Ovis aries: one gene and its partner. The protein of the gene in region 1 binds, or shares a complex with, the protein of each later gene. Links are inferred from orthologs where the notes say so. Each region holds a gene or a part of one and is shown on either strand. Other genes may lie near its edges. The genes, in order: TJP1 and GJC1.

Region 1 (3,815 bases):
AAACTTTGTGTGTTTAGAATCTCACACAGCATTATACTGCAATTTACAAATTCAGAACATGAGGTCACAGTTTTTTTACTCAGCACACTTAAAATGTATGTCTATCAACCACTATAAATGGAAGTGGGGAGTTAGCAGTGAACAGAAGCATTATATTTAAAATATTTTAAACACTTCACAGAAAGCAGAAGCCTCATCTCCAGGCCCTTACCTTTCGCCTGAAACAAACCCGGCACCATCAGCCTCTGCCGTTAATCCTCACGTAGACTTAACTAATGTCAGACTGGAGGAGCTGAGCCCAGCTCCCCCCTCCTCTGACTCACCACACGCCGACTCTTTACGAGCTCCAGGCACTGAGGCCGCTCACGTGCAGCTCAGAGGTCCAGAGCCGTCCCTGTCGTCGCATGTGGGCCCAGCAAAGGTACCTGTGCCGCGGGGGCTGCCCTCACCCGCCGCTCCCCGTCAGCCTGCCACACGAGCACGTCTGCTTTCCCTCGAGTGTCCTCTGCTTTTACTGTGGGCTCGACACCATGTTCTCAATCACTGCAAGTCATCTGGTTCTGCAGTCTGCATGGCTTCCAGTGGTGCCTGATTCCTTAAGTAGGCCTTTTAATTGGGATTGATACCTAATACTTTCATAGGTTTTTAATGTTTGGCTTTAGAATCTTCCAAAATTTCTTAATATATTGTTCAGATCCATTGTAAACTGCTTTACGTTTTCTAAACTATTATGTCCATAAATTTTCTTTATGATTTTCATTTTCAGTGTCCAAATCAAGTGGAATCAACAGCTGAATGCATTAATTTTCTACTAAACTTCATTTAGTGTTGTTACATGCTGAAACATAAAAGCCCCTACTTGCATTATAAATTTTGAGCTTTCACTTAAACTTGCTTTCTCCACTAATCTCTTTCTGTCCTGGTAATAAAGGGTAGAACATGTCATTTCTGTCTCTTACTAGACTAGGAATTGAAGCCAGCCTGTGTCCTTACTCATGGCTGTTTACGCAGGTGTACAGGAAGGACCCCTACCCTGAGGAGACGAGACAGAACCATGTCTTGAAGCAGCCGGCTGCGGCTCACCCTGGGCAGAGGCCAGACAAGGAGCAAGGCCTGAGCTATGAGCCGCAGCCTCCGTACACAGAGCGGCAGGCTGGCAGGGAGTTGGAGCAGCCCGCGTACAGATATGATGCCTCTGGCTACCCGGAGCAGTTTGCTCGGAACTATGACCCCCGTCTGCGCTATGACGACCGCCTCCTCACCTATGAGGAGCAGTGGCCCTACTACGATGACAAGCAGCCTTACCAGCCCCGGCCTCTTGATGGTCAGCCTCCCGCGGAGCCAACAGAACGAGGGTATTTTTCCCGTTTTGAGGAGCCGGTGTCCCTGTCCTATGAAGGCCGAGCGCACTACGACCCACTGCCCAGGACCTCCACCTTGCGGCACGAAGAGCCGCCCGCCCCTGCCCCTGGGTACGACGTGCATGGAAGGTACCGGCCTGACACGCAGCCCTACTCCACCACTGGCCCCAAGGTGCCCCCTGAGCCCAAGCCGTACTTGGACCAGTACTCTCGGAGTTACGAGCCGGTGCCAGCTCAGGGCTTCCCCTCCCGGGCAGGCCCAGGCCACTATGAGCCTCTTCACAGCACCACACCTGCTCCGCCACTTGGCCCCTCGTCCCAGCACAAGCCCGAAGCCGCGCCCACAGGCACCAAACCCCTGCCTCCACCCCCAGCTCCAGCCGAGGAGGAGGAAGACCCAGCCATGAAGCCACAATCCGTGCTCACCAGAGTGAAGATGTTTGAGAACAAGAGGTCTGCTTCCATGGAGAACAGGAAGGATGAGAGCCATTCCACTAGTTTCAAGGTAAAGATCTGATCACCGTTTCCCTGCCTTGTGTCCAGAACACATTCAGTGATGAGTGTGCAACATGCCTAAGATGTGTATCTTCTTTCTCTGCAGCCCCCAGAAGTCACGTCAAAACCGGCAGGTGCTCCTGTCCCAGGTCCCAAAGCCCCTGCTCCGAGTCAGCTCGGTGAACACGACAGAGCGGCACACAGGTGGGTGCTCCACAGCCTCGTGGGTGGGCAACAAGCCCCAGCTGGGGAGGGGCGGGGAGGGGGGGATTTGCGGGTCTTCACTTGAAATCTGCCATGTATCTTCTGCAGCACATCTTTGTTATCCTTTCCATAAACAAATCTGAAAACAATTTTCTAGCAAATTTCTAACATATGCTAATATACAATTTTAGAGCCCTAACTTCGGAAGGATGTTTTTAGTTTAATAGTGCTGTTGGCACACAGGCTGTTAGTTTTTAGCGACAAGAAAACAGATAGCTGTAAACTAAACTTCATCTTTTTAAATTTTTGTCTGTACTGTGCGGCATGTGGGATCTTAGTTCCCTGAGGAGGGACAGAGTCCATGTCCGCTGCAGTGGAACTCTTGAGTCCTAACCACTGCACCCTGGGAATCCCAAACATAATCTGTTAGTGAGCATGTAGCCTGTGACATGTGCCTGCCGTGGTCAGGAGCACGGTCAGCATCAGGATGACTGGGCGGAACGAGGCTTCGGGGACCTGCTGTGCATGCTCCTCACTGTGGCTGCCCCTGCTGTTGCTGAGTGATGGGCTGCGTCTGAGCAGTTCTCTGGCCTAATGTTTCATTGGCTTATATTTGTGCTTGTAATAAAGAGGAACTGCTGTCTCATTTCCTCTGGTTTTCCTGATGCCTAGTGCTTCCATGCAAATGTAGACTACTGCGGTGTCTCCTTTAGCTGGGATCATTCACAGATAGGCTCTTGCACACGGAGTAAGTGTGTTGTAACTGACAGCTTAGCCCTCCTTGGTGTGAAGCCTAGTGTATCTGTTTCTGATGCTGAGTTTCTGAATTACCCAGCAGGGCCTAAGTAACAATACCTCACTTTGCTGATGGTTGACCTCCTTTGCCTTTCGTCACTGTCTAGCTCCTTCCTCACCTGGGGATCATGTATCGATCCTGGCATCAGAGTCTTGCATTCTCAGCAGTTGTTCTGACGGTGGTGCCCGTGCTGGAGCTCCCCACTGTCTGCCTTCCCTTCTGTCTCTGCCTCTAACCAGCTGGTTGTCAAGCTCAGTAGATGGGTTGTGTTAGGAGAAGGCTGCCCTCTGAGTGTGATGTGTGTGCACTTAGGGCCCAAGTTTCGGCCTTGGTGGCTGCCCTGCTCAGCTAGGTCACGAGTAGTCAGGGTGTCAGTGGAAGGTCAGAGATACCTATTCTGTTCTCTTAGCCAAGTTAACGTCTCAAATGTTGTTCCATTTATCACTTGTTGTCAGGATCCCTGAACCACAGAGGCCTCATGTGAAGCCACCTGAAGACATCGTTCGGGCAAATCACTATGACCCCGAGGAGGATGAGGAGTACTACCGGAAGCAGCTCTCCTACTTCGATCGGAGAAGCTTTGAGGCCAAGCCCCCCACCCACGTCCCCGCTAGCCACCTCTCCGAGCCCACCAGGCCGGCTCACCCCCAATCTCAGCCACAGTTTGCCGGTTACTCTTCCAAGTGAGTCACTTCATTTTAGATGTAAATTTTCAAAGTTAAGATGAAACAAAGGATCACTTGCATCAAATGGAGTCAGCCACACAAAGTTCAGTGTGTTCTGAAGGGAAATGTTAGCTGTGTCATACTTACTTGATTTCTGTGGGTGTTAAGCAGTTCAGCATGCATGCTATCCAGCCTGGGGTGTGTAGCTTTGTTCTTAGACCCTGGCGTCATCTGTGTGAGCTTCTTACATTAGAAAAGATGTTAAATGTCAAGGGGTTCTAAGGGTCCAAATAC
Region 2 (3,815 bases), on another chromosome or scaffold:
TGTTTCCCATTCTCTCCCCCTTGCCCCAGCCCCACCTTCAGAGTCCCCTGAGCTTGGATCATGAGCCAACAGCATCCCTGAAGATAAGCAGAGCCAAATGTTTACTCAACGGAAGTCGTTTTTCAGTGAGCCGCTGCTTACCATGAACTATGAAAGCACAAGCTTTAAGCCCAGCCAAGATTAAATCCAGACGGAGGTCTTCCCATCCCCTGATTTGCTACTAGCACTGCTTTTGTTGGACCCAGCTTTGGACCCCACTTTGGCTTTTTTTCCCCGGGAACCGTGGGGGTTATTTTGGTGATTGTAGGCCTGGATGGCCAGATCCAGGCGTTCCTGAGCCATTCTGATTTCCCTCTGCAGAGTCTCCAGGTCGGGTGGGAGGCTGTCCTCATGGCTGCCGTACTGCTGTTCCTGGGCGATGTTGGCCTTGTTTTGCTTGTAGGCAATCTTAGCGTTGGACAGTTCGGTGTACTGGATTTGATCTGGTTTGACGGCAATGTTATAGCCAGGGGGAGCAGATGGCGTATTCCAAGTGAAAGGATAATTATAAGCACCCGGATCTTCCAGTTCCCTCCTTTTACTGTTTAGTGAGTCTCGAATTGTCCCAAATCCTAAATGAAGCATCTCCCAAATGTTAAGCAATAGGCAAAGGCCTGTAACACCATACATTATCAGAAGAAAGATGGTCTTTTCAGTGGGTCTAGAAATAAAGCAGTCTATCTTATGAGGGCAAGGGAGTCTGCTGCACACATAAAATGGGTGGACTTGGAAGCCATACAGGAAATACTGCCCAACCAGGAAACCCACCTCGAACACGGTCCTTGCCAGCAGCTGCAGCACATAGATCTTCATGAGCCCATCCTCCCGAATCCGCCGCCGGCCGTCATGCTTAGGTTTAGATTGGTTCTGATCTTTATTTTCTTTCTCACTTTCTAATTCCATTTCTGGATACATCATGGGATCCTCTTCATGGTCCTCTTCCGTTTCTTCCAGAGCCCGGTGCTGTTTCCAGCGCATTGCGTAGGGCTTGCTGCGAGCGGCCTTCTTGTCTGCGTCGCCGTGCTCCATCTTGGCAATCTTATGAATGGCATAGCCCAGGTACATGACCGAGGGGGTGGCCACCAGGATGATCTGGAACACCCAGAAGCGCACGTGAGAGAGCGGTGCAAAGGCGTCATAGCAGACGTTCTCGCAGCCCGGCTGCTCCGTGTTGCACACAAATTTGCTTTGCTCGTCGTAATAGATGGATTCTCCTCCTACGGCTGTAAGAACGATCCGGAAGACGATCAATACCGTGAGCCAGATCTTCCCTACAAATGTGGAGTGGTTGTGGATCTCCTCCAGTAGGCGAGTGAGGAAGCTCCAACTCATGGTGACTAAACTGGTCCGCCCTGACAAAAATGAAAAATACCAAAGAAAGATCAGCAAATACTAAAATCTTACTTTTTTTAAACTGATGATATCTTTTTCTCACCCGCTACACCACCATCAGGAAAGGCCCTTCCCCTCAGGCTATGAGCACGGGTGTATGCTGACAGGGTCTGAGGGAAGTCTGATTTCTTTTCATGTCTTCTCTAGTTTAAAAGGTAAAATTGCAGCTGTCATTTGAGATACAATTCTTAAAGCACACTGGATGTTTTACATATAGTGTTATTTCTTGGACTTTCTGAATTTTGTGAGACAGAGGAAAGAGTACAAAGGGACACTTATTCAGCCACAGTAAGACTGCCACCGAGAACACGATGGGGACGCCTGGGCTGGACTCCACTGTGAAGAGACACCTTATTGGCAAACTTAAATACCAGATCTGGTAACAAAGTATTAACAAGAATTAAGGAGATGGTAAAGCTGCAAATATTAATAACTGGCAAAGATCAAGAACTAAAATAAAAGACAGAAACTCAGAAGCCTTAGCTAGGGCTCATCACAGCAGATCCTAGCATTCTGTATTATACTTCTGTATTTTATTTATGGTTGATGTTAAAAAATGCCTGCAGACAGAAAATCCAATCAAGAGGTAAATCTACTTAAAACAGCATTTCAAACGACAATTTTATTCTGAGATTCTTAGATCTACGTTCAGAATCTTGGTAAAAACCATCTAAACAAGATAATATACCTACAGTCCCTAATTCAGCCCCTGACACAAAGCACACCTAGTTCTTCTCCTTGATCTTTCCTCTCCTGCTTCACTTCTGCAGATTACAGTTGATTATCAGCATCATCAAAGAAATTTAAACACTCCTTTTACCTGTTATCCAGAATTTCTGCTATCCAAAATTTTCTTAGAGAAATGCTTTGTTTACAACTTTTCCAGATTTTCTCTGAAAGAGAAACAGAAGAGAAGGCCATTAAGTTTTCTCCCACAGAAAACAGTAAATCACCAGAATGCCATTTTCAGGGAGAAACAGTTTTCCATGTACCACAGGAATCAATCAGCATGAGATGGAAAACAGGACTGAGCTTGAATATCACTGTTCTCTTCTCCAATACATTATGATAGGAGAAAATCCCTAAAAGTGACTCGAAGGTGCTTTAGTCACTGTAGTCTAAGAAAATATGACAGGAAGATGAATCATTTGTGAAAATCCGAAACAGATGAACTCTGGCATCTATAGGAAAAAGCCACAGCAGAAAATCTCAACGAATTTTAGCCGGGTCATTATAGGCGTTGCGAAAATCTTCACCCCACGTGCTCTATTCCTGCTCTCTTCTCTGGAGCAGCCAACTAGGAGCAAGCTGTTTATTTATGACACCCAACAGCTGGCTCCCTGTCACCAGGACACCCATATCCATAGGAGGTGATTCACAGACTCAACTGCTCACAGAAAGAAAACATCTGCACCAGTACTGTGATTACAAGTGTATATACATAGGACAAATTACTTCTCATTATCAAGTTCTGCCAACTATGGGATAGCCATGGTCACGAATCATCCTCATTTGCTATCTCTTAATTTAATAAATAAAACGTAAAATAAACCCTGAGTGTTCAAAGTTATTATATGTTCAAAATAACAAAAATTTTTTGGGTAAGATACATGAAAAAACCCCAGAACAATTCCCAAAAGGTCAATGAAGAAGGAAAAAGTTCAGAGGCATCTACATAACGTGCAAGAATCAAGATTTACATACAGAAGAGTCCAATCACACAAGTATTTCACCACAGGACTTCAAGTACAACTCTCGTTTCCAGCACTGATATCCAACTGAGCTCAACAGCTCTCCTCTCACTCTATACACAAGTTATAAAACCAAAGCAAAAGTAAATAATAAGCAATCTTTAAATGGTGATGTAAGCCAGGTTTCCATAATGAATCACATTCAAAGGGTCTAGACTCACATTTTTCCAAAATGCCATCTCTAAAGCATTTCCCTTAAAGCCTGAAATTTTATTTGTTCCAATAAGCCAAATCATGAAGGTGCAATCATTGGTTAGTTAGAAAACTCATTCTCTACACTTCCATCTGTACCAAAAACAAATGGATATCTTTTTAACAATTATTGCTATGAAATAATTTCTCAACAGGTCAGTATTTCAAATAATAATCTTAACTTTTTGGGGGGAAGGGGATCAATGGCAAATCCTTCAAAGCCTGCATAATAAAGCAGTCATTTAAACACAACTAGAAACACACATTTCATACTGGTTAAGCTGCAGGCCTCTGCAATGCTGAACACTTAAAAGCCTGGTTTTCCAAAGGTTTTGTAAGTGCCACAGCACCTCATCCCCAAACCTTGAGTATAAATGAAGTGTCCAGTACTGTAACTTCAGCATCTCATAACATGGATGATGGGTGGTTTTCTTTCTAAAG

Evidence for each region.
Region 2: the proteins of TJP1 (region 1) and GJC1 are in contact, whole or in part, in a crystal structure (PDB 3SHW), measured with the Homo sapiens proteins. The link is inferred for Ovis aries from reciprocal best matches to the Homo sapiens genes TJP1 and GJC1. Residues at the interface, in NP_003248.3 of Homo sapiens: Lys429, Ser432, Val433, Gly434, Leu435, Arg436, Leu437, Gly449, Val450, Leu451, Val484, Leu487, Leu488, Leu549, Asn551, Gly552, Lys553; in NP_001073852.1 of Homo sapiens: Lys391, Thr392, Ser393, Val394, Trp395, Ile396.

The regions. Positions count from the first base shown.
Region 1 is NC_056071.1:26,241,102-26,244,916, reverse strand, and holds part of TJP1 (tight junction protein ZO-1), read left to right. Parts: intron 1-181; coding exon 182-421; intron 422-1,011; coding exon 1,012-1,866; intron 1,867-1,962; coding exon 1,963-2,060; intron 2,061-3,311; coding exon 3,312-3,539; intron 3,540-3,815. UniProt on the Homo sapiens protein: TJP1, TJP2, and TJP3 are closely related scaffolding proteins that link tight junction (TJ) transmembrane proteins such as claudins, junctional adhesion molecules, and occludin to the actin cytoskeleton.
Region 2 is NC_056064.1:44,264,423-44,268,237, forward strand, and holds part of GJC1 (gap junction gamma-1 protein), read right to left. Parts: exon of another isoform or gene 2,424-3,815; intron 2,325-2,423; 5' UTR 2,252-2,324; intron 1,392-2,251; 5' UTR 1,372-1,391; coding exon 181-1,371; 3' UTR 1-180. UniProt on the Homo sapiens protein: One gap junction consists of a cluster of closely packed pairs of transmembrane channels, the connexons, through which materials of low MW diffuse from one cell to a neighboring cell.